Elephas maximus indicus: one gene and its partners. The protein of the gene in region 3 interacts with the protein of the main gene of each other region in a biochemical or structural test. Links are inferred from orthologs where the notes say so. Each region holds a gene or a part of one and is shown on either strand. Other genes may lie near its edges.

Evidence for each region.
Region 1: of the proteins of MTOR (region 3) and RPS6KB1, one has a biochemical effect on the other in vitro, tested with the Homo sapiens proteins (18 studies listed by BioGRID and IntAct, with this or other methods). The link is inferred for Elephas maximus indicus from reciprocal best matches to the Homo sapiens genes MTOR and RPS6KB1.
Region 2: of the proteins of MTOR (region 3) and PRKN, one has a biochemical effect on the other in vitro, tested with the Homo sapiens proteins (2 studies listed by BioGRID). The link is inferred for Elephas maximus indicus from reciprocal best matches to the Homo sapiens genes MTOR and PRKN.

What each region holds. Positions count from the first base shown.
Region 1 is NC_064837.1:34,230,732-34,241,549, forward strand, and holds the start of RPS6KB1 (ribosomal protein S6 kinase beta-1), read right to left. Parts: upstream 5,118-10,818; 5' UTR 5,013-5,117; coding exon 4,872-5,012; intron 4,388-4,871; exon of another isoform or gene 4,284-4,387; intron 1-4,283. Other genes in the region: TUBD1 (tubulin delta chain), read left to right, coding at 6,466-6,637, 7,135-7,282, 8,109-8,325, 9,148-9,379. UniProt on the Homo sapiens protein: Serine/threonine-protein kinase that acts downstream of mTOR signaling in response to growth factors and nutrients to promote cell proliferation, cell growth and cell cycle progression.
Region 2 is NC_064819.1:234,899,770-234,910,331, reverse strand, and holds the start of PRKN (E3 ubiquitin-protein ligase parkin), read left to right. Parts: upstream 1-5,445; 5' UTR 5,446-5,570; coding exon 5,571-5,577; intron 5,578-10,562. Other genes in the region: PACRG (parkin coregulated gene protein), read right to left, coding at 4,734-4,889. UniProt on the Homo sapiens protein: Functions within a multiprotein E3 ubiquitin ligase complex, catalyzing the covalent attachment of ubiquitin moieties onto substrate proteins. Substrates include SYT11 and VDAC1.
Region 3 is NC_064821.1:51,094,244-51,104,479, forward strand, and holds the start of MTOR (serine/threonine-protein kinase mTOR), read right to left. Parts: upstream 4,149-10,236; 5' UTR 4,040-4,148; intron 4,015-4,039; exon of another isoform or gene 3,717-4,014; intron 1,649-3,716; 5' UTR 1,609-1,648; coding exon 1,447-1,608; intron 1-1,446. UniProt on the Homo sapiens protein: Serine/threonine protein kinase which is a central regulator of cellular metabolism, growth and survival in response to hormones, growth factors, nutrients, energy and stress signals.

The sequences.
Region 1 (10,818 bases), on a different chromosome or scaffold from region 3:
TATATAAATGCAAGTTAATATGCCTAAAGTCCCAATGAAAGAGATCAATTTCATAAAAATTTAAGTAACTTATTCCAGAATGGGTGAAGTTTTCCTTAATCCAGATATTCATTAAATCATTTATGCACTTGCCTGGCTGTTCAGAAATGATTAATATTAAATAAAATTCAGTAATTCAGAAGAACTGGGAGGAAAGGGTAAAACTTTTCCAAAATCTTGGATTAGTTAAGAACGGTTGCTGCTCAACCTGAAAGATAAGAAACTTAGGGAGCAGTAAGATTATGTTAATGGGGGAGGAACAACTCGGAAAAGGAGGGCAAGGATGGATGTACAACTTGAAGAATATACTCCATGTTGCTGAATTGTACATGTAGGAATTAAAAACAGCTCCTGGTTTATGGTAAGTATACGTTACAAGGTAAGATAAGCGTTGATAACAGTGTGTTTTTCTATAATTTTTGATAATCATGAATATTTGAATATACCACTATTGCTTTGCCAAAGCACTAAAAAATGTTAAAGTTTTTACACAGTAAAAGCATGCTGTCCCAATTTGAATTTGTGCAGCAAACCTCTATCACTATTTCAAATTTTGAACTAGTAGAGTAAAACTTAGGGATTTTTTTTTTTTTAACTAAATAAGTTTTCTATTACTCTTTAAACTTTGTGCTTCCACAGAAGCAGAGAAGTTTCTGACATTTTCACAATCTAATGAAATTCTCTGGAGGAAAACTTTCCCTTAGTTTCAACTCACTGCCCCCAAATAATGATGGCATCACCATTGAAACTACAAAAAAAAAAAACTAATCAAAGATACTTTTAACCCATCAGTTTTAATATATTCATCTTATGTATTTAAGCATGGAAACCCTGGTGGTGTAGTGGCTAAGAGCTATGGCTGCTAACCAAAAGATCTATAGTTTGAATCCACCAGGCGCTCCTTGGAAATCCTATGCGGCAGTTCTACTCTGTACTACAGGGTTGCTATGAGTTGGAATAGACTCAAGAGCAATGAGTTTTGGAGGATTTTATGTATTTAAGCAGGCTCTTTTATTAGTTGATGGGAGCCCTGGTGGCACAGTGGTTAAGAAATCAGCTGCTAACCAAAAGGTTGGCAGTTCAAATCCACCAGCCGCTCCTTGGAAACCCTATGTGGCAGTTCTACTCTATCTTTTAGGGTCGCTATGAGTTGGAATCAACTCAGTGGCAATGGATTTGGTTTGAGTTTTCTTTTATTAGTAGCAGGCATTCAGTTTCATCCATAAGAGTATCAGTTTAGACTTCTCGTCTTTTACTCTAAAGAGTGAACTTGACTATGCTATGTAAATACATCATATTTACCAATAAGGATTCACTTAGTGTAACACACCTAGAAAAACACCCCTCTCTAAATAGGACTACAATGCTTTTTGTTAAAAAAAAAAAAAAAAACCTGATGCAACAGTTGTAAAACTGAACCACCTCTAGTATGTATAACTCCACTTAAGTCTCCTTAAAAACTCTATGGAGCAGTTCTACTCTGCATACACAGGTCACCATGAGTAGGAATCGACTTGATGGCAAGTAACAACAGGCAAGGATGAAGGTAAATCTGAATGATGGTTCCTTGTCAACGAGTAATACTGACAGTTATTTCTGTGAACTAGCTAACTGCTTAACATGCCAGGATATTTTGAGAGTACTTTCTATACTTTGGAGCCCTAGTGGTGCAGTGGTTAAGAGCTCAGCTGCTAACCAAAAGGTTGGCAGTTTGAATCCATCAGCCGCTCCCTGGAAACGCTACAGGGGGCAGTTCTACTCTGTCCTATAGGGTTGCTATGAGTCAGAATTGACTCAACTGTAATGGGTGTATATATATACTTTACCTCATGCCATCGTTATTTCATAGAGAAGAAGAAAGTGACAGTGAGGTTAAAAATCAAACCAAACCTGTTGCTGTCAATTCTGACTCACAGTAACCCTACAGAACAGAGTAGAACTGCCCCATAGGGTTTCCAAGGAGTGACTGGTGGGTTCAAACTGCCAACCTTTTGGTTAGCAGGCAAGTTCTTAACCACTGTGCCACTAGGGCTCCATCAGTGAGGTTAAGCAACTTATTTTAAGTCACATAGGGAGGGTAGTAGAAGTGATTTTTAACTCACTTCTGCCACACCACAAAGATGCACATTATGATCAAGACTGGTAAATAAAGTGAAGTTGTGCAATGAAGCTTGCTGAACTGAGTCAGAAGACACTACCACTAGCTATGTGATCTTGGGGAATCATCTCTCTGACCTATGCCTCAGTTTCCTTACTATAAAATCAAGAGATTAGGTTACTCTGATACACATTGTTAAAAAAGTCTGTGTAATAAACTAATAGCTATTACATAAATGGCTGGAAAATATTACATTTTCCTAGAAACTAAACTTTTATTATTCTTCAGAATTTTTTTTTTTATTTCGAGTAACCTGGACGTAAGCAATTCTCCTTGGGTTGCCACCCCAATCCCACCCCAACTTTGTCTACCTTGAGGCACCTCTTAGAATAACACACCCAAAAGAAACAATTTCAACTCCCAAAGCATTGATAAGTAAGACGTATTTTACTTAAGGTTATTCCTCAAAGCCCCGGGGTGGTGCAAATGGTTAACAAGCTCTGCTGCTAACCAAAAGGCTGGAGTTTTCAGACTATCCAAAGATGCCTCAGAAGAAATGGCTGGTGACCTGCCATACTCTTATGCAAATAACATGCACCTTGTAGTTTGTTTCCCAACCACTTCCCCCCTGACCCAGGTTATTTTCATAAGTGTGCTATGCTAATTTTTTACAGAAACATGTTTAAAAAATCAGCATAGAGGCTCTTATGAAAATATCTTGTGGGGGGAGGGAGTGCTTGGCAAACAAACATAGAAGGCACATGTTATCTGCATAAAAACATGGTACTTCCAAAGAGTCAGCCACTGAAAACCCTATGGAGCACAGTTCTACTCCGACACGCATAGAGTCACCACAAGTCTGAGTTTACTCAAAGTGGACTCCATGGCAACTGGTTTGGTTGGCTCTATCCTCTTCCCAGGTAGTTACCACACTTCTTGCTCTTTCCTGTATCTACCAATTTCTCAGGCCATCTCCACCACATCCTCTCAAAATCCTACTTTGCTTGTAGGAAGCAAAACAAAAGCCCAGGAGAAGGTCAAAACTGGACTACACACTGTTTCTGAAGCACATACCAAGGGGGTCCCAGTTCATAACAAGTGTCTTAATATAGTGGTGTATTTTCAAAGGAGGATAAACTCATAGTTTGGAAATTATATCATTTTAACTCACAAAAATATAAAGCACCCTTCCTATCTCGTTTTCTCCCTACCCTGGCCCAAAATCATTGCCATATGGAAATACTATAACTGATGACAGTATGGTGCATGTAATGGAAGTTGGAGCAGAAAAAAACATAAAAAGATGCAGAATTACCTGTATTAAGAAAGTAATCCCCTATTTGTTTCAAATTGTTATTTAGTGTACCATGGTGTTCATTTAAGAGAGTAACGGAATCCCATACTCAGACATAGCAGTTTAAAAAGCACATACCTCTTATCCACATTCTAAACTGTGTGATTTTGATTTAGACTCATTTGATCATGAAAAGAATAGTTATTATTATTTTAGCCCACTTAGTTGCTTAAGTTCTTTATATATGTAGCATTGAAATCTTTTAACAAGCAGGGTGCAATTTATTGCCATAGCAGGAAAATTGTACGTGGGGAAAGAAAAGGGGAGCCCCTTATGTAGTTAGAGCAAACGTATGACACGAGTCATTAACCCATGTACTCATTAGACAGTGGAATTTAGAACCTAAATTACACTGAGGTTATGCTGATGCCATTAGCCCAGGATAAGTGATTTAGTATGACAACATCATTTTTGAACATCAGGTGCAATTTGTGATTTTTCAACAAATTCATCTTGAAGAAAGAATGATCTTTCATAAATAACAAACTGTTAAAGGTAAAACCAAGCTATGCATTAGAAAAAAAATTCTAAATTCAGCATCCTAAATTACAGCAAGGAAAGCCCTCACACCACCATTCACAAGTCTCAATTCAAGCAATTTATTTTTGGCAAGCCAAATCACAGCTGTCAACAGTGGGTTTTTTCCACCCCAAAATTACATAAATATATTTCGAAAAAGAGAGACATCTTCATCTAGAAGAAAAGTTAATTACAAATGCCGTGTGTCGTTACAAATGCTTTTATAAAAAATCACACGGAAGGGGGTTAAAAAAAAAAAGCAAACAAACAAACCCTGGAAGATGCAGCTGAGCCCCCTTGCTCCAGAAATAAAACTCCTGGTGGCTGTAACAGCAGCGGCAGCGCTACTCCCGACAGAAGTTTTCAGCTGTCACTTCTAACAGCTGAGCGCTTCCTAGGAGAGAAGCGACAGGCCGAGAAGAGAGGTAGTTGTGGGAGATCTGAGGATTTAATACCTGAAATTTTACACTTGAAGGGAAACCCTTCCGCACTTCGCCTGCACTTTACGGGACACCTAACAAGCCAGCCTCCCTCCCCCCAACACACGCTCACACCACCCGCGTCCCACCACACACAAGTGCCACAGCTCGAGGAACTGATCACGCATCCTTCCTCGTTCCCTCCACAAACAGACTGCTCGGGACAGCGCTGATCTGGAGCTGGGGGAGTGACCTGCACCTGCGAGCCCCGCAGCGGCCTCACACCTAGGGCCACCTCCGCCGCGCGGGGCGCCTCCCAGCCCTTCCCGAAGACTACTCGCGCCCCCCTGGGTCTCCGCGCTCTCAGACACGCCTGGCTTCCCGGGCCCTAGCCGCCGCCCCAGCCCTGTCACCTCGGGCCCCCCGGGACCCCGGGCCTCACCCCCTCCTCCAGCTCATCCTCAGAGCCCGCGTCCTCTGGCTGGTCCAGGTCTATGTCAAACACTCCTGCCATGTCCTCAGCTTCCCTGTCTCGGACGTCCGGCGCTGGGTAAAAGCCGTCCCGCCTCCGTCGTCGCCTCATGGGCCCGGACCCGCCGCAACCACTGCCGCCGCTGCCGCCATCACCGGCCGCTTAGGCTTAGTGCGACTGCGCCTAGGCCGTAGACTGGCTCCTCAAGTTCAGCGCTAGAGCATGCGTACTGGGTCCCATGAAGCCGAACTGTGGGCAGTGGACATGCGTAGAATTATTGCCAGGATCAAGGTCCTGGGAGAGACATGCGCAGAATGCCAGCCGAAGCCTCGGTTGGAGGCTAGATCATGCGCATTGTCAGCTCAAGCTTTTGATGGACAGCGAGCATGCGTACCATATCTGATGTTGATAAATTGAAATTAAACATGCGTAATTAACCTTTCTGAATAAGAAGAAACACACACACGCACCCACCACCCCACTTACCCCCAAAACGCTCAGTCTGTGGAACATGCGCATTCGTTCTTGGCAGTGTTTAGTGTTGAAGGCGAGCATGCGCATAACGAGAGGATTGGCCCTCTGAAGTTTGAAGAAGACAGAAGCGACTAGTACCGGGGCTGTCAGTGAGTGAGTTTATTTTAATGAGGGGTTCCTGGGGCCGGTGGGGAAAGGGAGAGTCTTGGTTTTGCTCTTTACTAGTCTGGTGGTCTTGGGAAATCACAAAACTTTCCAGACCCTCAGTTTCCTTATCCGTAAAAAGCGGATAATAATGCCTGCTTTGTAGGATTTTGGTGTGTTTTGTTTGGTTTGGTTTGTAGGATTGTTTGAAAATCTGAAGCACAGAACCTGGCTCACAAACCGTGGCTCATTTCCACTGCTGCATAGACCTGGTGTGAGGTCTTTATCAAAAATTGTCTGTTTTGTTTATTAAACATAATGAAAACCAGTTCTAATATTTCATCTGGTCTGCTTTCTCCGAGCTCCGGCTTTCTTCCTGTACTGGAGCTAAGGAGCCCAGGGAACGTTGTGGTTAAGAGTTGGGCTGCTAACCAAGAGGTCACAAAGTGTAATTGTAGTTATCAAGCCAGAAAGGAGGTTGGTGAAGGGAGAGAAAGTCATTATTTAGAAGAGGGAAAATTACTGTTAATTAAATGCGTGATTGCAGAGAGAAATTCTGTGTTCTATGTGTCCACGTGGTGTGAACTGTGTATTACTACGTAATCCCGTCAATCAGCATTCTTTTTGCTTTGTCTTAAATGCATGCTGAAGAAAATAGTATGAATCAGATTGTGGAAGCTGTGTATGAATGTATTTGAGTATAGTAAATCACAAATCGCAAAACCATAAAGAAAAGGAGAACTTCCTGAATGACTGGCACCTTAGACAACATAACAATTTCATCTGCAACCCTGTACATATATGGCATTTTTAAATTATATTTTTTAATCAAGATGTAATTAATATGTGGCATTTTATTTGTTCTTTTAGTAATATAATAGTTCTCAAAGTCTATATTTTTCTATTACAGGTTGCTCACTTTTTTGGTGGGACTTTGTGGCTCAGCATGTCAATAGTAACAGTGCAACTTGGTCAGTGTGGCAATCAGATTGGTTTTGAAGTGTTTGATACTTTATTTAGTGACTCATACTGTTCCCAGGGACTCTGCTCCAAGAAGGAGAATGAGGCGTATCAAGCGTCTTGCAAAGAAAGGTTCTTCAGTGAGGAGGAAAATGGAGGTATGTGTGGCCCATGGTTCTTTCCTTTAGTCTGAGGTAGCCAGCCTTTTCAAGGCCAAGCCCTCCACTTGGTGTCTGAACCCCATCCCTCCCCCATCTCTCTAGGGACCTATGTTTGCTCTCTCCCATCTGTTTCTATTATTGACAATTTTTGCCTCCCAGTGGCATCTTTCCTTCAGCACATGAGCGCGCTCAGATCTCACCAGTCTAAAACAAAGCAAGACAAAAAAAATCCCTTGACTAAAGTTTTCTTCTTTCTTAATTTCTTGCCTTCTTATCCAAGATTCTCAATGGAGAGCCCTCCTTAACCCAGTGCAATCTTGCTCTGCCCTCACCACTTCTGAAGCTACTCTAAGAAAAAGTTTCCTAATTACCAGATTCAATGGCTGTTTTTCTTTTCTTAATTCACTTAACTTCTCTGCTGGATTTGACAACACTAACTACTATAAAATTTCCTCCTTGAAATATTTTTTCTTTCGATTTTTTTCCCTTGCTAGTTCTAGTTGCCCGGGCTGTACTTGTTGACATGGAACCTAAAGTTATCAATCAAACACTATCAAAGGCTGCCCGGTCTGGCCGATGGAAATATGGTCAGCATGCATGCTTCTGTCAAAGACAAGGTTCTGGAAACAACTGGGCATATGGGTAAGAATAATTCCACATATTTTGCAGTTTAGTTACAGATACATTGTTGATTAATAGACAATGTAGTTACAATTGTAGAGTTGATATACTCTAGATTGTACTAGCAAACAATCTTGTAATTGCTACTTTAAAGTTTGAATTCACCCAGAAGAAACTCTCATTCAGTCTCTGTGTCTGTGCTTCAGGTACAGGTAATGATGAAGGATCTCTTGCCCCAAGGTTTTCCACCTTCTTCATTGTCGTGCTGCCAGCTGACTTACTGTCAGTATATTATCTGTATCTGGCGAGTATTCTGGTTTATTGGGCAAGAATATTACAAAGCAGTAGTTCCAGCACTTTGCTGCACATTAGAATTTCCTGGGGATCTTTGGAAAGTCTCAATGCCTAGGACTCGCTCCAAGAGATTTTGATTTAATTGGCTTGGGATAAAGTCCAGGTATTGGGATTTTTCAAAGGTCCCCAGGTGATTTTAATGTGCAGCAAAGTTTGAAACCACTGCTTTAGGACTATTGTTATGAGTATCAGATATTATGTTGTACCAGAAACTTACACAGAACTACTTGGTCATTGAAGGCTCCTGGTAAATGAATGTCCCATAAAAGAGAATTTCCTGTACCTAGTCAGTGCCCTCTCCTAGCAGTCATATTCACCTGTTAAATATATTTTTGTATTTTAAATTCTGCCAGTCAGAGTACTTGTATCTTTCGTGAGAATTAGTTCACTTGCGCAGCTTTGAAAAGCTCGCTCTGTCCTGTGTCTATCTCTGCATTGCATCTCTGTGGTCAATTTTAAAAGGGTTTATGTTTGTCTCTTTTGCATTGCATAGTTACTCTGTTCATGGACCCAGGCATGAAGAATCTATAATGAACCTAATTCAGAAGGAAGTGGAGAAATGTGACTCTTTGAGTGGTTTTTTCATCATAATGAGTATGGCCGGGGGCACGGGATCAGGGCTAGGAGCCTTTGTTACCCGGGATTTACAAGATCAGTACCCAAACTCTTTTAAAATGAATCAGGTTATATGGCCTTATGGAACCGGTGAGGTATGAACGTATTAATTGAAATTTTTATATTTTGCATTCTTTCCAGTTGAAATAAATGTGGGTAGGAAATTGATTCTCACTCTTTCTTTGGACATGTTAAGTTACAGCTTCAGGAGTGATTATGCAACATGATACTTTCTTGAGTACAATTCACTTAACTTAAACTTTTCCAAACAAACTAGGTGTCCACGTTTTTTAAAATTTCAAAAAAAGATGATTGTGTATGCCCTCTCAGGAACCCAACTCTGAGTTAGTCCCTCTGGCTACAGTATGTAAAGCAGGACAGACCTTGACCTCATATTGGGGTTCATGGTGCCATTGCCAACCTTCAAATAGTTTTTTTTTTTTTCCATGGGGAAGAAGTTTGTATATAGGCCAATTTCGTGTTGGTCAGCCTAGTAGGAGAATCAGTAAACTGGAGGTGAGATAACTCACTATAGGAAATGATGTAGGAAGGAAGTGTGATAATAGCCAACATTTACTAAGCCCTTATTATGTACAAGGCACTATTCCTAAGTTCTTTACTTCCATTATATCATTAATCTTTCTAACTCTCGGAGACCAGTGTAATTATTGTCCCTGTCTTACCTGTAACTCAGGGTCATCATGAGTTGGAATCAACTTAATGGCAATGGGTTTGTTTGTTTTTAAACAAATGAGGAAACTGAGGCATTCAGAGGTTAAATATCTTGTCCAAAATCATACCAACAGCTAGAAAGTGACAGAGCCAGGAATGTGAACGCAGGCAGGATGGCTTCAGAATCTACGCTCTTAACCACTCTTCACTCCTGCCTTTCTTATTTCTGATGTTTTTCTTTCTAGGTTATTGTTCAGAACTACAACTCCATTTTGACTCTCTCTCACTTGTACCAATCTTCGGATGCCCTCCTTGTTCATGAGAATGATGCTGTCCATAAGATCTGTGCAAAACTGATGGGTCTCAGACAGGTCTCCTTTAGCAATCTAAATCACGTCCTCGCACATCAGCTGGGAAGCGTGTTCCAGCCCACTTACTCTGCAGGAGGCTCGTTTCACTATAGAAGAAATCCATTAGGTAGGTGTCCCCGTGCCCTCCTCTGTTATTTGTGAGAAAGTCTTATGCTCTGAAAGCCTGCGAGCTTATTCTATTCAGATCCTTTACCCATTTTTTAAATTAGGTTATTTATCTTTTTTTATTTTTGAGTTAACAAGAGTTCTTTATATATTCTGAATTTTTTACCATTTGCGGTTCAGTCAGTTCCAACTCATGGTGATCCCATCTGTGTCAGAGTAGAACTGTGTTCCATAGGGTTTTCCATGGCTAACTTTTTGAGAATAGATTGCCAGGCCTCTCTTCTGAGGCACTTCTGGGTAGACTCGAACCTCCAACCTTTCAGTTAGCGGCTGAGTGCACCACCCAGGGACTCCATATTCTGCATACAAGTCCCTTATCAGGTTTATGATCTTCAAAAAAAAAAAAAAAGCTTTCATTCTGCAGGTTGTCTTTTCACTTTCTTGGTGATGTCTTTTCTCTTCTTATGCCTTGCTACCTGGCTTTCTTTCCTTCCTGTCTTCCAACTTGGCACTCTTTATTCAGTGTGGTTTAGAGTCTCCAAATCTAGCGGGCTTCTCAGCCTCAGTATCTGGCAGAGCTTCGAACCAGTTCATTCTGGTTTATACACCTGATAGAAATTTACATTTCCATTGCAGATACACAAAGTCAGAATCTATAGTTTAACAAGATTCCCAGGTGATTCTTATGTATAATAAATTTCAAGAGCCACTGCTCTCTTAGTAAGGAGCCCTGGTGGTGCAGTGGTTAAAGCAGTCGGACTGCAAACCCGAAAGGCCGGTGGTTCAAAACCAGCAGTGGCTCTGTGGGAGAAAGATGTGGCAGTCTGTTTCCTTAGAGATTTACAGCCTTGGAAACCCTATGGGGTCGCTATGTTTTGGCCCTACTATTTGGTCCCTAGTAGTTGGAATCCACTAGAAGGCAACTGGTTTTTTTTTTTTAGCGATTCTCAGAATTGGTCCCTAACCAGTGCCATTAGCATCCCCTGGGAACCTGTTAGAAATGCAAATTCTCAGCAGGGTTTCGAACTGGAACAAATTGGTTCAAAGCCCTGATATCTGTCAGCATTTTATAATTAACAGCCTCCCCCTTCCTCAGCTTCTCAACTTGAGGACTTTTTTGTCCTTATTCTTCATCTCCTTTTTTAATTGTTCTCACTTATGTTTTCTGACCATTTTTCACTTCCATCTGCTCCTCAGACACACATTTCCTACCATTTTTTCTTCAGCCCTTGTTCTTCAGGTGGTGCCTTATTAATTCGGACCATCTAGGTGCAAATCCTTACCTCCAGTTCTAATCTCTTTCCCAAATAGCTATCTCTTAGTGGTCTGCCGCTGCTTCAAATTTACCACGTTTTGAATAGATTCATCTTTTCATTTTTCCTATCTTTTCTCCCCTTCATCCGTCACTAAAACCAGCTCCTCTTCTTCAATTTCCTGTTC
Region 2 (10,562 bases), on a different chromosome or scaffold from region 3:
TATGGAACAGGCCATCAATTGCTCATATGCAAGTACAAGCTGAAACTGATGAAAATCAGAACAAGTCCACGAGAGCCAAAATATGTCCTTGAGTATATTCCACCTGAATTTAGAGACCATCTCAAGAACAGATTTGACACATTGAACACTAGTGACCGAAGACCAGAGAAGTTGTGGAATGGTATCAAGGACCTCATACATGAAGAAAGCAAGAGGTCACTGAAAAGACAGGAAAGAAAGAAAAGACCAAGATGATATCAGAGGAGACTCTGAAACTTGCTCATGAATGTCGAGCAGCTAAAGCAAAAGAAAGAAATGATGAAGTAAAAGACCTGAACAGAAGATTTCAAAAAGCAGCTCGAGAAGACAAAATAAAATACTGTAATGACATGTGCAAAGAGCTGGAGATGGAAAACCAAAAGGGAAGAACACACTCTGCATTTCTCAAGCTGAAAGAACTGAAGAAAAAATTCAAGCCTCAAGTTGCAATAGTGAAGGATTCCATGGGGAAAATACTAAATGATGTAGGAAGCACTAAAGGATGATTGAACGAATAGACAGTCATTATACCAAAAAGAATTAGTCAATGTTCAAACATTTCAAGAGGTGGCATATGATCAGGAACCAATGGTACTGAAGGAAGAAGTCTAAGCTGCACTGAAGGCATTGGTGAAAAACAAGGCTCCAGGAATTGATGGAATATCAATTGAGACGTTTCAACAAATGGATGCAGCGCCGGAGGTGCTTACTCGTCTATGCCAAGAAATATGGAAGACAGCTTCCTGGCCAACTGATTGGAAAAGATCCATATTTATGCCTATTCCCAAGAAAGGTGATCCAACCAAATGTGGAAATTATAGAATATCATTACTATCATATGTAAACAAAATTTTGCTGAAGATCATTCAAACATGGGTGCAGCAGTATATGGACAGGGAACTGCCAGGAATTCAGGCTGGTTTCAGAAGAGGATGTGGAACCAGGGATATCACTGCTGATGTCAGATGGATCTTGGCTAAAAGCAGAGAATACCAGAAGGATGTTTACCTGTTTTTTACTGACTATGCAAAGGCGTTCAACTGTGTGGATCATAACAAATTATGGAATACTGAATATACCATGGACTCCCAAAAGGACGAACAAATCTGTCTTGGAAGAAGTACAACCCGAATGCTCCTTAGAAGCAAGGATGTTACGACTGTGTCTTACATATTTTGGACACGTTGTCAGGAGGAATCAGCCCCTGGAGAATGACATCATGCTTGGCAAAGCACAGGGTCAGCGGAAAAGAGGAAGACCCTCAACGAGGTGGACTGACGTAGTGGCTGCAACAATGAGTTCAAGCATAACAACAATAGTAAGGATGGCACAGGACCAGGCAGTTGTTTTGTTCTGAGGTGCTTGGGGTTGCTATGAGTTGGAACCGGCTCGACAGCACCTAACAACAATAACAACAGTTGGTCTGTCTTAAAGCAGCCTGACCAATATCTTAAGAATTTATAATTGCTGACCACTACTGCTGTGTATCAGATGAACATGTGACTGGTGAGTATAAAACTCTCTGTCTGTGTAAAGTGAGAATTATTCCTCCTGTTCCGTAAGCCTTGAGAATAAGACAGTTGTAGATTGAGAAGTGAAGCTGTAGCACAAACCTTCACTTGAAGGAAACTTTTGTCACCATACCCTTGGGTTCCTATGCTGATGTGCTTTATAGGGTAAGCTGGCACAGGAAGTATCTACTGTCTGTCCAGATAAAGTTCAAACAACCCTGGATTCCTGCCTTTTGGGCAGGGGCTCTGTCATACATAGTCAAGACCTTCAAAGGGAAAATTAACTATGAAATCTTCAGATTTTGTATCTCCTATCATTCTTTTTTTTTGGGGGGGGGGTATCATTCTTTTTAGGAAAACATGATAACAATATGAATTAGAAAATTATTTTCTGATTAAAGGGCTTTTATCATTGCTCATTTTGACAAAGAATGCCACAAAAATGTCATGAAAGTAAAGGAACTACTCCCTATTGAAGAACAGTTGACCTTGGACTGAACGCACTTGTTGGTTACATTTTTCACCATTTTGTAGATAATTCCGCAGTCCCATATGCAGATTCTGGCTGTTTAGATGCACAGTGCATCTGATCAAGTTTGTCAATGATCAAATTTTTATACTTATCATTACGGCACTCTCACAAGAATATCAGGAATCGTCATACGACTCCCGAGGGTGCAGCTCTATGTATCTTTTGTGGGGAGCACTGGAATGGCAGCTCATCTAACTAGCCAGCATTTGAAAAACAGAATTGAATGCAATCCTTAATGCTGAAAAATGGTTAGAAGGTTTGGTTTTCGCAATATGGGGTTTCGATTAAGAAAAGCTGGAGATTGGCATATTATGTTGTCTAAATAGAAATACACCTTAAGGAAGATGTAGGGATATTTTAACTTTATAAATGCCAAAAGTCCTATGCTGCTAAAGGTAAACGGTGAAATACTTCCTTTCTTTTACCACTGAAGTTAGTTTGTATGAAGAGCACTGTCTAGTTTTATCAAGACTTTATTGTTGATAAAGTGGTAGTGGTGGTTTTCCTAGGGACAGGGACTTTGTTTTGTTCACTTGCTGATCCCAGACTGACTGAATAATGTTTATTTCTAAGAATTACGATTTCTGCTAAATGGAGTGAAAAAAATGAACCATTCCATTCTGGGATCCCAGTGGAGACATAGATAGTGCACTAAAAGTTTTCTTTAAAAATATGCAAAGAAGATAATTTATCTCAAATTAGTTGTTTATAAAGAAAGCTACTTCATAATCGATGTCTTTGAGTTTTGTCAACATATTTGCTGGGCAGTGCAAGCGGTGTGCAATCAGCTGCTAACCTAAAGATTGGCAGTTTGAATCCACCCAGCGGAGGTGCAGAAGTGCCTGGCAATCTTCTTCTGTAAAGACTGCAGCCAAGAAAACCCTACGGAGCAGTTCTACTCTGTAACGTACAGGGTTGCCATGAGTTGTAATTGACTTGATGGCAATGGATTTTTTTTTTTTTTTCTAGTGACAAAACATTCGGTTTTCCAGAACAGAGACTTTTGGTGTAAGGCTGTTTAAGAATACACACAATATATGAATTTGTGAACACCAGTTTAAAAAACAAGAGAATCTGAGCTCTTTTTTTTTTTTTTTTCCTAGACATCTGTGATGTTAAAATGTAACACTGGAAAAAAATCTTCAAAATGATCATTATAAATACTGTATAGAAGAAAAGATAAATGATTCACTTGTATGGTTATGGGATTCTGAATGGCTGATAAATGAGTCATCCCGGCTACCCTGAGAAACAGTTCACAAGAAATACAATGAAAAGACTGCAGTAACAACATGCAGGATTATTAGTGTATTTCCCAGAATTTCAACTATTGTAAATCAATTCACACAAGTACGAACAACCAGAACACCACTCTGTGTAGCAACGTGGGGATCAGACATGGAGACTGGAGGTAATCTGTTTCTTTCACGTATTTAAGGACGTGGTTTAGGAATAAGGTATCACATTTGCAACATTTAAGTAAAACAAACAATGTGACCCACACTGGAAAGCAACACTATTCATTTAACACAATGAGTTACACATAATAAATCAGATCCTCCCAGGGTGTAAACTATACAAATTTGAAAGCTACATTTATTATTAATGCCTCATTCCCAGACAGGTGCTTACTCAGTAGTAAAATCTGGTTTAGCATACCACATTTAAAGCTATTTAACAAATAGGAAGATTTTCTTTTTTTCTTTTTTTAAACTAAATTACCATGTATATAGCCAAAGGATTTGTGTGCATTAAAAAAAAATTTATTTTCTAATAGTGTTAAGAATATTTTTGTTACCACAAATGGAAATGAAATACGAATTGTACTAATAGGCAGAAGGAGCCCTGATGGTGCAGTGGTTGTTTGGCTGGTAACTGAAAGGTTGGTGGTTCGAGCCCACCAGCCACTGTGTGAGAGAAAGATGTGGCAGTCAGCTTCCAAAAAGATCACAGTGTTGGAAACCCTACGGGGCCGTTCTTTGCTGTCCTATAGGGTATTACGAGTCTGACTCGACGGTAACGGGCTCGGTTTTGGTTAATGGTCAGAGATTCTTGAACTGAAGATTGGATTATTTTAAAAGCATCGCTTATTGTTACCAGGAAATAGACTTCATATTCGGTACTCTGAGTACTCTAACAGGCTGATATCATTTTGTGAGAAACGGTGTTGCTGGAGTAAACCTAAGATATTCCAAAATTACCTACGTGGATGAAATTTCTCATTACAGATGATTTAATGAGCTTATGTTCTCAGCTGTACATCAGCACGTGTTAAATTTTGCAAAAGTTTGTGATTTCTAACAACTCACCTCCTATAAGGCCCTTTGCCCTGTAGAGCTAGTTCGGTAGCCAATAAATAAAGGGGATCTTTTTTGTTCGCATAAACAGCTTAAGAGTAATTCTGGGTGCTCTAGAAACTGTGAGTGCATAGGAAGGTGCTTATAAACGGGACGGTACACCACTTGCCCAGGATCCTCTCTAACCAACCTAACTTGACATCCACACTCTTGGGTACAGTCTCCCACTGGCCAAATAATTGCCAGTTTGGCAAAGACCACCCAGGACACGGCTCAGGGTCCATTACAGGGCCAGCCTGCACAACCTCGTGTACCCTGCTTTGGAGGAGAGCATTCAATCGGAAGATCACTTACGACCGAGTTTTTCATCATGGCTTTGACTGTGAAGCCCTCGGAAACCAGGGAATGCGGCTGGTGCAACGGGAGCGGCTGTTGGGCCAGCAGCTTGGTCCTCTTCGGTATCTTGTCTGGGCATTTGTTTAAGCTCAGGGTCTCTTTTTCTGCCACCATCTTCCTAGGAAAAGTCTTGTTCTCATAAAAAAAAAAGTGTATTAAGAATCAGTGGGGCCTACGGATGTAAGAAGGTCGGGAAAAAATGTCAAAAGGCGCAATACTGATAGAAATTCCACCCCTCGTAGTGCCCAGGTCGATCCAGATGTTTGGCAGCTCCTAGGTGAACAGGGTTTGGGGGAGGGGAGGGGCGGGAGGAGCGCAGGACCTTGGCTAGAGCTGCAACAAGCTTCCAAAGGTAAGCCCGCGGTTGCTAAGCGACGCGTCAACATTGCGGCCGAACGGCCTCGCCCTGTCGTGACGTGCGCTGCCTGGGCTTTGAAGCCGGAAAGGGTCGCCGCAGGGAGGCAGGCGGGGCGAAGGCGTAGCTGCCGGTCAGGACTACGACTCCCGGCAGGCCACGGGACGCGTTTCCTTTGCTCATGCGTCTTTGTGCCTGGAGCCGGCTAGAGTTGCAGTGAGAGGAGGTGATTGGGGGGCGACGGCGTGACTGCAATTCGGAACTACGACTCCCGGCAGGCTTCGGGCCGTAGTCTTCTGCGCTTGCGCATTCGGTCGTCCCGGGGGAACAGAGCGTGGGTGGGGAGATCTGAGCAACAGCCGGGAAGAGCGGCCTTGGGAGGCGGCGGGCGACGGGCGCTGGAGCCCTGTTGCCGAGCGGCCGCCGCCCGCCCAGTGACCATGATAGGTACGTGGTGCCTGCCAGGTACAGCGTCTGTGCGCCGCCATGCCGTGCCTGGGCCGAGGGGACCCGGGGGTACCCGCCGTGACACCTGTCAGTGACAGGAGACAAGTGCCCACGCTGCCTGGGCTCCTGTGTCCGGGGACACGGCCTGGACCTGCGACTCTCGTTGGGGGACCAGAAACTAAGTGTGTGTTCTGTGGTCCCTCGCCCTCCTGCCTGGTTTAGCAGGCTCCCACCGAAGAGAGCTAGTCAGGAACACTAGCCAGGGGGCACTAGTGCCTGCCACCTCCCTCCGAGATGACCGCCCCTCCTCCTGGTGCCACATGGGTCCCCGACGCCCAGAGCCTTGCAAACGCCCCTGCAAGACCCGTGTGGGGTCACTGGAGCGCCGCCGTTCCCCGCCCAGGTGTCCTCCCTCACCTTGCTCTGGTGAGCTTGGCTGGCTGTCTTTCAGCCTAGGACACGGTGGAACCCCTTCAGTAGAAGTCTTTAAGGGGAATCGTGGAGACAATCAAACTCTAATGAAAAACACATGGTACTGATGGTTGGGCTCAAAACATTCCTTTATGTGAATTTATACTTGCTTCCTTGACATTTTCTTCTAAACCTCTCCCTGAGAGTCTGAGATAAAAGAATAATTAGCAGTGTAATAGCAAGGTTTGAATATTCTGCCATTTGCATAATGCATTAACTGCAATATATATATATATAAAACACAAAATGACTGAGATGCCTTGTGAATGAAGCTTTGGAAGTGGATGTTAGAGTTGTTTGTAAATACTGTGATGTTTTAGATTAGCAAGGGTCCTCTCTTCCAGGGTTAAGAGACAAGGGCCAAGTTATTTTAGAGGCTACCCCTGAAAATCTGTGGAAATGCACAGTAGGATTAGAAAACAACTATTTGAGGGGCTCGGTATGACAAAGACTTGCTCCAGTTTATGTATTAGGAGTATGGTGTGAGATTAGGCTTATTTCTGAGGGATACCACAAAACACGTTTTTGATTGTAACAAGTAAATATTAGTTCGGATGTGGTCTGTTCAGAAAGATGAGTGGTGGATTGATAAAATACCTTAAGTTTGTGTCCTAGTTTCCTAGTACCACTGTAACAGAAATGCCACAAGTGGATGGCTTTAAAGAACAGAAATTTAATTTTCTCACAGTTCTGAAGGCTAAAATTCCAAATTAGGTTTTCCACCTTGTGGATGCCTTCCCTCTGGTTTTTGGAGGCATTCCTTGGTTCCTTGGCAATCTTCACATGGCATCTGTCTTCACCCTGTTTCTGCTTCCTTCCATGTCTCTACTGCTCTTCTTATAACTCAGAAATAATTAGGTTTAGGACACACCCTACACTGATATGGCTCTATTAACATGACAAAGAAAATCTTATTTCCAAGAGGGACCACATCCACAGGTCCAGGGGTTAGGATTCCAGCATAGATTTTGGGAGGAACACATAGGTTGTCTGTGAAGCCCTGGTGGCTCTGTGGTTAAGAGATCGTCTGTTAACCAAAAGATGGGCGATTGGAATATAACAGCCCCTCCTTGGAAACCCTATGGGGCAGTTCTACTCTGTCCTATAGAATCCCTATGACTTGACAGCAATGGGCATTTCCTGTTGTTAGTTGCCCTCTAGTTGATTCCAACTCATGGAAACCCTACGTGTGCAGAGGATGTGACCTTTTGGAAGGAGATTACGAAGCTTGTCTTCCAAGGCACCCCTGGGTCAGTTCAAACTGCCAACCTTTCTACTGCTAGTCAAGAGCTTAACTATTTGCACCACCTGGGGACACCACTGGTGGTGTAGTGGTTAAGAGCTACAGCTGCTCGCCAAAAGGTAGGCAGTTTCAATCCAACGGGCACTCCTTGGAAACTATGAAGCAGTTCTACTCTGTCCTATGGGGTCACTATCGTTAGAATCGACTCGATGACAGTGGGTTTGGTTTACAGGTGTAGTTACCCCACAGCATTTCCCAAGTCTGCTTTATTTATGGAAAGAATGTTAAAATGCAAAGCATTGGTCTCGTCTCTAGGAGAGTCACAGTGGTTAATTAGCCTTGGCTTTGCAAATTTTTTTTTCTTTTGCAGCAATGGTGAAACCTTGGTGTGCTTTCCATCTTATACTCTAGCGTGGAATGGATTTTAGTGAATGACTGTTAAAAATTATCAAATTAAGAAAAATTGATACATTGTTATGAATCTTATTGAGTCTTTTTAGGTGGCATTTGCACAAGAATTACTTGAAAACACAAATCTGAACTGAATCAGAAAACCAAGCAAAAGGTGTTTTCTCAGAATTTGTATCATTATTTTACAGGAAAAGAATAATAGCCTATGCTTTATTTTGAAGACAATTATGCAAATTTTTAAAATTCTGCTTCAGTACAAGGATATTATTAAGAATAGCAAACGTATTGTAAAATCATAAAAAGACAGGAACTTGAGATCTAAAAGTCTTTGCTTAATTCTAAATTAATATCTAATGCATGATTATGCAAATAACTTTATTAGGATGAAAGTTATTTAGCCAGTTGTATTTAGTTTTTATTTGGAAATTATGAATAAAAGAAGTATTATCTTTGACAATGATATGGAGAATATAGGGTGGATTTTAAAAGGCATTTTTTCTCATACTTCAGCTATTGCTTTATGTAGAGTAAGTAAGTGTGTATTACAACACAAACGTCAGTTTGTTGTACTGTAGTAGATTGTGTGTTGCTGTGATGCTGGAAGCTGTGCCACCGGTATTTCAGATACCAGCAGTGTCACTCATGGTGGACAGATTTCAGTGGAGCTTCCAGACTAGACAGACAGGAGGAAGGACCTGGCGATCGGCTTCTGGAAACAAACAAACATAGTGAAAGCCTATGGATAGCAGCAGAACATTGTCTGATATAGTGCTAGAAGTTGAGCCCCTGAGGTTGGAAGGCACTCAAAACGCAACTAGGGAAGAGCTGCCTCCTCAAAGAAGAAGAGGAAAAAAAAAAAAAAACCCTTGCAGTCCAGTGAATTCCGACTTACAGCGACTCTATAGGACAGAGTAGAACGGCCCTGCAGGGTTTCCAAGGAGCAGCTGGTAGATTCCAGCTGCCGACCTTTTGGTTAGCAGCCATAGCTCTTAACCATTGAGCTACCAGGGCCCCTCTCAAAGTAGAGTCGACCTTAATGGCGTGAATGGAATTAAGCTTTCAGGACCTTCATTTGCTGATGTGGTAGGATTCAAAATGAGAAGAAATACCTTTAAATATCCATGAGTAATCAGAACATGGAATGTATGAAGTATAAATTAAGGAAAATTGAAAGTCATCAAAAATGAAATGAAATGCATAAAGATTAATATTCTAGGCTTTAGTGAGCTGAAATGGACTGGTACTGGCCATTTTGAATTGGGCAGTCATATGGTCTGTTATGCCAGGAATGACAAATTGAGGAGGAATGGTGTCACCTTCGTTTTCAGAAAGAACATTTCAAGATCTGTCCTGAAGTAAAACACTGTCAGCGATAGGATGATATCTGTATGCCTGCAAGGAAGACCAGTTAATACAACCATTATTGAAATTTACCCACCAACCACTAATGCCAAAGATGAAGAAATGAAAGATTTTTACCAACTTTTGCAGTCTGAAGTTGATTAAACGTGCAGTCAAGATGCATTGATAATTACTGGTGATGGGAATGTGAAAGATGGAAACAAAGAAGGATCAGTAGTTGAAAAATATGGAGTTGGTGATAAAAATGACACTGGAGATTGCATGATAGAATTTTGCAAGACCAATGCTTTCTTCATTGGAAATACTTTTTCTTAACAATGTAAATGACACCTATACACACGGAGAAGCAACTCTGTAGCACAGTAGTTAAGCATTCGGCTGCTAACAGAAAGGTTGGTGGTACAAACCCACCAGCCACTCCATGGGAGAAAGATGTGGCAGTCTGCCCCCATAAAGATTACAGCTTTGGAAACTATGGGGGCAGTTCTACCTTGTCCTGTAATGTCACTGTGAGTCAGAGCCAACAGAATCAGATACACATGGACCTCACCAGATGGAATACACAGGAATCAGTTGACTACATCTCTGGAAAGAGATGATGGAGAACCTCAATGTTATAGTCACAACAAGGCCAGGGATCGACAGCAGAACAGACCATCAATTGCTCATGTACAAGTTCAAGTTGAAGCTGAAGAAAATGAAAACAAGCCCAAGAGAGCCAAAATACAACCTTGAGTATATTCCATCTGAATTTAGAGACCTTCTCAAGAATAGATTTGACTCGTTGAACACTAATGACCAAAGACCAGAGAAGTTGTGGAATGACCTCAAGGACCCGTACGTGAAGAAAACAAAAATTCATTAAGAAGATAGGAGAGAAAGAAAAGATCAAAATGCATGTCAGAAGAGACTCTAAGACATGCTTTAAACACGGAGTAGCTGAGGGGAATGGAAGGAATGATGAAGCAAAAGAGCTGAACAGAAAATGGGTGACTCCAGAAGAAAAAGTAAAGTATTATAACCAAATGTCCAAAGACCTCAAAGGTAGAAAACCAAAAGGGAGGAACATGCTTGGCATTTCTCAAGCTGAAAGAACTGAAGAAGAAATTCAAGCCTCAAGTTGATATTTTGAAAGATTCTAGAGGCAAAAAATTGAACAATGCATGAAGCATCAAAAGAAATGGAAGGAATACACAGAGTCGCTGTACCAAAAAGAATTGGTCGACATTCAGCCAACTCAGGAGGTAGCATATGATCAAGTCGATGGTACTGAAAGAGGAGGTCCAAGCTGCACCGGAGGCATTGGCAAAAAACAAGGCTCCAGGAATTGATGGAAATACCAATTAAAAATCTTCAACAAATGATGTGATGCTGAAAACACTTGTTTATACCAAGAAAGTTGGAAGACAGCTACCTGGCTAACCAACTGGAAGAGATCCATATTTGTGCCCATTCCAAAAAAGGTAATCCAATGGAATGTAGAAATTATTGAACAATA
Region 3 (10,236 bases):
TGGTGGGAATGTAAAATGGTACAGCCACTATAGAAAATAATATGCTGCCTCCTTAAAAATCTGGAAACAGAAATACCATATGATACAGCAATCCCGCTTCTAGGAATATATCCTAGAGAAATAACAGCTGTCGCCCAAATAGTCATATGCGTATCCATGTTCAGTGTGGCATTATTCACAATAGCAAAAAGAAGGAAACAACCTAAGTACCCATCAACAGATGGATGGGTAAACAAATTATGAAACATACACAAAGTGGAATAGTACACAACCATAGAGAACAATGATGAATCCACAAAACACCTCACAACATGGACGAATTATGGATGGCATTATGCTGAGTGAAATAAGTCAATGACAAAAGTACAAATATTGTATGAGATCACTATTATAAAAACCAAAGAAAAGGTTTACACACAGAAAAAATAAACTTTGATGGTTACAAGGGAGGGGAGGGATGGGAAGATAATAAACAAATATTAATTTTAGTGAAAAGAAAGACAACACACAATATAGGGGGAGTCAGCACAACTTGACCAAGGCAAAGCCACAGAAGCTTTCTACACACATCCAAACACTCTGAGGGGCTGAGGGCTGAGGACCACGGTCTCAGGGAACTAAATGTCAATTGGCATAAAGTAGGTCATAAAGAAAACGTTCTATATCCTACTTTGGTGAGTAGCATCCGGGGTATTAAAAGCTTTCAAGTGACCATCTAAAATGCATCTTTTGGTCCCATCACATTTGGAGCAAAGGAGAATGAAGAAAACCAAAGACACAAGGAAAATATTAGTCCAAAGGACTAACGGACCACATGAACCACAGTCTCCAATCAGCCTCAGCCCAGAAGAACTATATGCTTCCCACCTACCACCACCAACAGCTTTGACAGGGATCACAATAGAGGGTCCCAAACAGAGCCAGACAAAAATGTAGAGCAAAATTCAAATTCACAAAAAAGGACCAGACTTACTGGTCTGAGAGAGACTAGAGAAACCCCCAAAACTATGGCCCCTGGACACCCTGCTAACTCAGAACTGAAGCCACTCCCAAAGTCCACCTTTCAGTCAAAGATTAGACAGGCCTATAAAACAAACAATAACACACATAGGTAACATGCTCCTTAATTCAGTCAAGTACATGAGACCAAATGGGTAACACCTGCCCCAAAACAAAGACAAGAAGGCAGGAAGGGACAGGAAAACCAGATGAATGGACACAGAGAACCTGGAGTAAGGGGAAACAGTGCTGACACATCGCAGGGATTGCCATGAAAGTCACAAAACAATCTGTGTACAAATTTTTGAATGAAGAGACTAATTTGGCTGTAAACTTTCACCTAAAACACAATAAAATTTTTTTTAAAAAAAAGGAACCTAAAACAGTGATGGTATATTTAGCTTGGATACCTCCCAGTGACTTGCCCCAAATCACAGAAGCCCCAACCTCTCGGAGTTCCATGGTGACATAGTGCTGGAGCTCCTTGGCAGCTTTGGCCCTGGTCTCCTCATTGCGGCTCTTCAGGCCACTGGCAAACTGCTGCAGAACGCTCACATTGCTGGATGTGGTGGTGGCCGTGGTGGCGGCGGCAGGTCCTGTTCCAAGCATCTTGCCCTGAGGTTCTTTGGAGAAAAGCTTCCTTTAGTATCTGGATAATGAACCATGACAATGAATTTATTGGCCCTTGTTCCTCAATACAGATTTCTACCCAGCTCATGTCAGGTGGAGAATTCAAAAAAGGTTGGGAGATCTAAGGAACACGTAGAAAGCCTAGAAAACATTCTTTCAACAGAGATTAACGTTTAAAAGAGCCAGCATAGCAAAATGGGTTGAACTGTGGGTTGTGGAGCCAGACTATCCGGGTTTGAATCCAGTTCCAAAGTTACATAACTTGAGGAAAATACTTAAAATCTCTCTCACTTTCCTCGACCACAATAAATATGAGGATAAAAACCCTGTGCCATCGAGTCCGTTCTGACTCATAGCGACCCTACAGGACAGAGGAGAACTGCTCCATATGGTTTCCAAGGAGTACCTGGGGGATGTGAACTGCCTACCTTTTGGTTAGTAGCTGTAGCTCTAAAGGATTAAATGAATTTTAAAAAGTGCTTAAAATAGTGCTAGGCACACAGTGAGTTTTCAATAATGGTTAACTATTGTTAACCATTATTGTTGTTGTTAGGTGCTGTCAAGTTGGTGCTAACTCATTGCAACCCAACGTACAACAGAAAGAAGCACTGCCCGGTCCTGTGCCATCCTCACAATCACTGTTATGCTTGAGCCCATTGTTGCAGCCACTGTGTCAATCCATCTCATTGAGGTTAACCATTATTACTACTATGTATACACATAAGAAGCCCTGGTGGCACAATAGTTAAGTGCTTAGCTGCTAACAGAAAGGATGGTGGTTCGAACTCATCCAGCAGCTCCATGGAGGAAAGACAATCTGCTTCCATTAAGATAAAAAAAGATACAGCCAAGAAAAACCCTATGGGGCAGTTCTACAGTCACATGGGGCACTACGGGTCGGAATCAACTCGAAGGCACCCAACAACTATGTACATGACTCAGTGGCAGGTACTAGAGGTGGGGAGAGAATACCAAATAACTGAGACTGCCCATTTCCTCAAGGAGTTCAATCTAAAGACAAAGACTGATTATTATGCTATAGCAGCGCTATCCAAAAGAAATATAATACAAGCCACAAACGTAATTTTAAACTTCCCAGTAACCATACTAAAAAAAGGTAAAAAGAAACTAGTGAAATTAATTTTAATAGCATATTTTATTTAACTCAATATATAAAATGCCATTTAAACATGTTATCAATATAAAAAATTGATACATTTTCCATTCTTTTTTTGCACTAAGTCTCCGAAATCTGGTGTGTATTTTACGCTCACAGCAATCTCGATTTGGTCTAGCCAATAGCCACATGCACAATTGGACAGTGCAGTCCTATAGAATACCAGCACCTCAAACGTGAGCTAAAAGAGCCACATTAGTTCTTGAGTTCATTCACTCATTCTTCAACTATTTACTGTCTCTTCCCCTCAGTGAGTTTACAATCCAGTGGGAAATACAAATAACCAGGCAACCAGAACAAAGTGGCCATACCACGGCTCAGTGCAGACTGCTATGGGAGTAACATGTACCCATCCTAGGTATCTCCAAATTATACTACAAAACCAATTACCAAAATTCTTATTTTAAGTGCCATTTGTGACCCACAGAGGAAAAGCAGAGAATAGTTGGTTTTCAAAAACTTTTAAATGCCCCAGTGCCAAGAAGACTGCAGAAGGAAATGTCATCTTTTACAGGAGAGGAAACCTAAGGATCCCTGATGAAAAAACCATTAAGGTGGGGAGGCGGGGGCGGGGGGAGGGGCTTGGCAAATAATTACCATCCTTAGGAAAGAACCAGTGTATCTTTGTATGGTCTGAGTCCCACAGGCTCTCTGCTCCAAGGTGAATTCAGTTAAATTACTCCAAGTCAGATGTTCTAAGGGTCTTAGTGAGGGCTTCAGGGAGCCCGTTAAAGTTGGGTGGCTGAAACTAGGGATGGCGGCGGGGGAGAGGCACGAAAGATGAAACCCAAGAAAATAACCGAATTCAGCCCCGTGGACTGGGACCCTGAGAGGTCTCCAGGGCGCAGTGCAAGGGGCTGACACTGAGGACGGTCCTCTCCGAGGCACAGGGTCCCCAGTTTGTATGTACCTTGGAAGAAAAAAGGGTGACTGTGACGGGCAGGGAGCCCCAAAAGGGCCTCGGCAGGACCGGAGCTGATGGGCCGGCCTCCGGAGAGCCTGCGACGAACGACAGGCTGAAGGGTCCGGGGACTCCTGGGGGCCCGGGAGGAGGTGGGCGTTACTCGCGGGGCGAGGGGTCAAGGGCCCAGGCGGCGCCAGGCTCGTGGGACTGTTACTGAGGGGACTCCACGTCCCCGACGGGCGGCTTCCCGGGGCCCCCACCGACCAGGTTGGCCTTGGGTCTGGACATACCGCCAACTTGGAGGGGTCGGTGCCAGGCCCCAGACTCACCGCGCGGCTTCGGCCAAGGCCTCAGCTGCCGCCGCCAGTGCCGGTACCGCAGCTTCAGACTCCCGACCCCACCACCCGCCTTCCCCGCTGTCCTCTAAGCCGGGCGGGAGAGAGGGTGGGCTCCCAGACCTAAGGACCAATTGAAAGGCGAAGTAAGAAGATTGGCTGGAATATAGACCAATAGTAACGAAGGCGAAATGACGCTTCAGGCCCGGCTTCTCCGGAGGGCGGGGACTGTTCAAATAGACAAACCATGCGGCCAGTGGCAGGAGAAAGGAGCCTACTGTCGGCTCTGGAGAGCCAATCGGTGGTGAGTTCACATCAGTCACTTCCATGCACACTTCCGGTGTATCGCTACTCTAATTCCCCTCTGCATCTGGGAAGCGGGCCAGCCGAGTCCGCTCTCTGGGTACCGCGGGATGGGAGGGATAGGTGGTAGGCAGGTTCGAGAGAGACTCGAGACCTCGCCCAGTGTAATTATGAAAGGAGCCTGTGGGCCTTGCCAAGGCCTTGTAATTACTGGACGTTAAGTTTAATATCCATTTGAAAATGTTTTTAGTTATACTTTCTCACTGCAAAAAATTTTTGGCTCACAGGATAATTCCCAAGAGATTACAGCCAATTTTTAATTCAATAAGGTATTGATAAGTAATTTTAAGGAGACTTGGTTGCGCAGTGGTTAAGATCGGCAGTTCGAATACACCAGCCCCTCCCTAGAAACCCTATGGGGCAGTTCTACCCTGTCCTCTAGGGTCGCTGAGTCAGAATTGACTCGATGGCAATGAGTTTAAATACTTTTAAAAGCAATATTGTTTTTTTTAATCCTCTAAACAATAGCAAAAAATGGAATTTCAGTGCATCTCTTCTTATTAAAAATTTCCAAATAGGTAATGTATTTACCATTCAAATTTCAAAATAAATAAAAATTATAACTTCTATATAGCTCCTGCTTCTGCCCCTTATTTTTTTAGGTCCTTGTGTGCAGCAAATGGTTTGCCCTCCCAGCTGAAAGGTCGGTGGTTCGAACCCACCTAGTGGCATTGAGGAATAGAAGCCTGGTGATCTGCTTCCATAAAGATTTCAGCCAAGAAGACACTATGGAGCAGTTCTACTCTAACACATGGGGGTCCCATGAATTGGAGTCCACTGGCGGCACACCACAACAGCAACAATATGTATCTTTCTAGAGTTTCTTTATGCAAATAAAGCAAATATGAATTTACATTTTCCTGTGTTTCTCCTTCCTTACACTGTATACGCTGTTCTGCACTTTTTAAATTTCAGTGTATCTTGGAGGTCTTTCCACGGTAGATATATAGAAAGCTGCTTTTTTATAGCTGTTTGGTATTCCATTATGCAGATATACCATAATTTGTTTTCGCAGTCCCCTGATAATAGACATTTGCTTTGTTTCCAACTTTTTGCCATTAAAAACAGTGCTTCAATGTATGCCCTTGTGCATATGTCATTTTGTCCTGGGGCAGGTATATCAAGGCAAATTCCCAGAAATGGGGTTGCAGGGCCAGGGCAAATTAATGCGTAGCTCTCACGGATATTGTCAGATTGCCCTCTATAAGGGAGATATTGTTGTCACTCCCACCAACAATATATGAGATTTTTACCACCCTAAGATGTGACAAGGAAACCCTGGTGGCGTAGTGGTTAAGTGCTACGGTTGCTAACCAAAGAGTCGGCAGTTCGAATCTTCCAGGTGCTCCTTGGAAATTCTATGGGGCGGTTCTACTCTGTCCTATAGGGTTGCTATGAGTCGGAATTGACTCGACGGCACTGGGTTTGGTTTTGGTTTTGGAAGATGTGACAAAGCTCTGTTTTCTAATTAACAATTAAAGGTGGTTTATAACAATAGTAATCAGCACATTTGTAGGTCTGTTGCCTGGTGGCACAGTGGTTAAGAGCTTGGCTGCTAACCAAAATGTCAGCAGTTCACATCTACCAGCCACTCCTTGGAAATCCTATGGGGCAGCTCTACTCTGTCCTATAGGGTCACTAAGGGTCGGAATTGACTCGATGGCAATGGTTCATTTTGTTTTGTTTTTTTCCTCATTTTACAAAGACCTTTCTTACCCGTTTCATTAAAATCTCTCTAGTTGCCATGGGGTTGATTCTGACAGCGACCCCATGTGTGTCAGAATAGAACTGTGCTCCATAAGGTTTTCAATGGCTGATTTTTTTTGGAAGTAGACCACCAGGCCTTTCCTCCGCGGTAACTCTGGATGGACTTCATCTGCCAACCTTTTGATTAGCAACCTAGCATGTTAACCATTTGCATCGCCCGAAAACTCATTGCCGTCAATAGGTTCTGACTCATAGCAACCCTATAGGACAGAGTAGAACACCCCCTCAGGGTGTCCAAAGAGCAGCTGATTGATTCACACTGTCGACCTTTTGGTTAGCAGCCGAGCTCTTAACCACTGCGCCACCACACACTTACTAACTGTATGAACCTGGGCAAGTTCTTAATCTCTATGTACCTATTTCCTTATCTGTAAAACAGGAATGATAATAGTACCTATCTCAGTAGCCAGTGTTATGGAGGTTAAATGCTAGTACGTGTCAAGTACCTACAAAAGTATCTGGCAGATGTGAACAGTTAGCAAATGCTGTGACTGTCATATTGTTTCCATTTTATACATGAGTAAGTACTAAAGTACAGAGAAGTTGAGCCATGGAGTTGATAAGTGATAGAGCCAGGTTTTTCTTATCTCTGCGTCTTTGCCTTGTCTGATTTGGCAGCACAGGACACTCAGGCTCAGCCAGCTTCAAAAGTCTGTGCTCAGCAGGGAACTTGCAAATATTTAACAACCAGCTCTGGGGGTGGGCGGTGATGTGTGCATATACAAGGCGAGCTTTTTGGGAGTGTGACCTGTGTAGTCATAATACTATGCGGTCACTGTCTTGAAATTCTTCATGATTTTTGAACAAGGGCCCCACATTTTTATTTTGCATTGAGCCACACAAATTACGTAGTCAGTCCTGTGTACTTACCTATTATATGTGTATTAGAAACTTTACCAATATAAAGGGTGTGTAGCACACAATTTACAAATAATAATAAAATATATGATGTTTTTATTGTAAATTCCATATAGCTAAATTGGTTTCACAGAAGGCCTTCACTGATATTGTGTAGCCTATCTATGGCTGCAGTTGATCAATGAGTAGTTTCAACATGAATGTTGGTTGATAGTTTGACGTGTCGAGAGATGTCAGAACTTTACTTGTCAGTGACTTCAGCGACCTCTTTGGTGAATAGTTTTCAGATACCGGAAGAATATTTCCTTAGATTTTTGGTCCTACTCACAATCCGAGGAGCCCTGATGGCGTAATGGTTAACCGCTTGCCTGCTGACTAAAAGGTCGGTGGTTTGAACCCATTCAGCGGCTCTGAGAGAGAAAAGACCTGGCGATCTGCTCCCGTAGAGATTACAGCCTAGAAAACTCGATGGGGCAGTTCTAGTCTGTCATATAGGGTCAGTGTGAACTGGAATCGACTGGACGGCATACAACAACAACCACATTCGCAGTGTAATGGCTACAGATTTCACATACTTTTAAATTTAATCTGCATTATTAACATTTTCTTTGTCACTTTAAAAAAAATTGTGCTTTAAGTGAAAGTTTACAAATCAAGTCAGTCTCTCATACAAAAACTTAGACACACCTTGCTATGTATTCCTAGCTGTTCACCCCCTAATGAGACAGCACACTCCTCTTCTCCACCCTGTATTCCCTGTGTCCGTTCAACCAGCTCCTGTTCCCCTCTGCCTTCACATCTCGCCTCCAAACAGGAGTTGCCCACATGGTCTCATGTGTCTACTTGAGCCGAGAAGCTCACTCCTCACCAGTCTCATTTTCTGTCTTACCGTCCAGTCCAATCCCTGTCTGAAGAGTTGGCTTCAGGAATGGTTCCAGTCTTGGGCTAACAAAGGGTCCAGGGACCATGATCTCTGGGGTCCCTCTTGTCTCAGTCAGACCACTAAGTCTGGTCTTTTTTATGAGAATTTGAGGTCTGCATCTCAGTGTTCTCCTGCTCCATCAAGGGTTCTCTGTTGTGTCCCCTGGCAGGGCAGTCATCGGTGGTAGCTGGACACCACCTAGTTCTTCCAGTCTGAAGCTGATGTTGCCTCTGATTTATGTGGCCCTTTCTGTCTTTTGGGCTCTTCTTTACCTTATGTCTTTGGTGTTCTTCATTCTCCTTTGCTCCAGGTGGGTTGAGACCAATTGATGTATCTTAGATGACCGCTTGCTAGTATTTAAGACCCCCACCTTTGTCACTTTTTTGGGGCCCTGGCGGCGCAGTGGTTGAACAGTCAGCTGCTAAACAAAAGGTTGGCATTTTAAGTCCACCAGCTGCTCCTTGGAAACCCTGTGGGGCAGTTCTACTCTGTCCCATAGGGTCACTAGGAGTTGCAATGGGTTTTTTGTTTGTTTGTTTTGGTTGGTCATTTTTTTAAAGTCTAGATAGTCAACAAAATAATTATTAAACATTCATTGATTTGTACGGTGTAAATACTTCTACCATAGCATATTTCAAGCTACCAATGGATGTCACTTAGGGGGGCGGAGATGTGCAGTAGCCCACCATTATTCTGTATTTCCATCGTGTAGCTACGATAGATGTAAATAGCCTGAGGAACATAAACGGTAAAATGTAGTAAAATAAGCAGGAAGTGACAAGTTGTATTTGTTACCTTTGTTTTTAAGAATTTATTTAATTGTAAGTTTGTATAATTTAATTTTTAATAATGGTTCTGCTTAATGACCCCATCACAGAATTTCTGGAAATTTAACAATTAGCTCTCTCCAGCCAGAAGGAACCACAGATAGGGACCACAAGCTCCCAAAAGGCGGGGCAATGAAGACAGAACTAGACGCTTGGTGGGAGAAGGGAGGAGGGCAATTATTTTCATGAAGAAATAAATACACTAGAAAATGAAGATATAAAAAAAGGCAGGCAGAGCAGCATATGGTATGTCAATTGCACAATAAAAAGAAGGAATTATTGCTGTTGCGATCACAGTACGGTATTACTAAACCAACCCCGTTGCGGTCAAGTCGATTCTGATTCATAGTGACCCACGCATAGGATTTCCAAGGCTGTAAGTCTCTAGGGGTAAACCCTGGTGGCGTTAGTGGTTAAGTGCTATGGCTGCTAACCAAGAGGTCGGCAGTTCGAGTGCACCAGGCGCTCCTTGGAAACTTTATCGGGCAATTCTATTCTGTCCTATAGGGTCGCTATGAGTCGGAATTGACTCGACAGCAGCGGGTTTGGTTTTTGGTTTTTAAGTCTTTAGGGAAGCTGTCACATCTTCTGTGGACCTGCTGGTGGGTTTGAACCGCCGACCTTTCAGTTAGCAGCCGAGCGCTTAACCACCGCGCCACCAGAGCTCCTACCTGATTATTACTAGAGCCCTTAAGTTCTTAGACTATCACTTTCCATTCCAGGGCTTCAATTCTCCCATTTTTTAAAAAATGGGGCTAATTATACTTTTCTTATCACCTTCAATTTGCTCCCTGATTTTTGTCCATTTTGTTCACTGCTGCGTCCCCAGCGTCTAGATCAGCGTCTGCACACAGCAGGCGCACAATAAACTCTTGTTGAATGAATAAATGAATGAATGCTATTTCAGTGAACGAAAACCAAAAAACCAAACCCGTTGCCGTCGAGTCGATTTCGACTCATAGCGCTAAACTGAAAGGTCACATGATGCTGAGTGAGGCTGTTTCCAGCTAGCTGGGTACCAGCGGCCGGGCGCGGTCCCCTCGGCCTGGGCGTGGCTGGACCTCGGGGTTGTCTCCCGGCCCCGCCCCCGGGCCTGCCCAACCCGGCCCGGCTCGCGCCGCCGGCCTCTGTTTCCCAGCGGGCCTCCCGGACGGGCGCACAAGATGGCGGCCGCGGGAAGGCGGCCGCGGCTCGGCCTGGGATTCTGACGTGGGACTGGAGACGAGAGCTAGGTCTTCCCCAGGTGACAGGTGATCGGGGCAGTGCCGCCGGGCCTCGTGGGGTGCAAGGCCCGCTCGTTGCTGTCCCCGGACCCCCCCGCCTACCCAGCCCCTGCCCCGGGGCGGAACGGAAGGAAGGTCAAGCCCGGACGCCCCACCCCGTCCCTCCTCGCCCCGGGGCGGTCGCTGGGGTCGTGGGTGGCTCCCTTTAGAGCCAACTTCAGCCACGTGCAG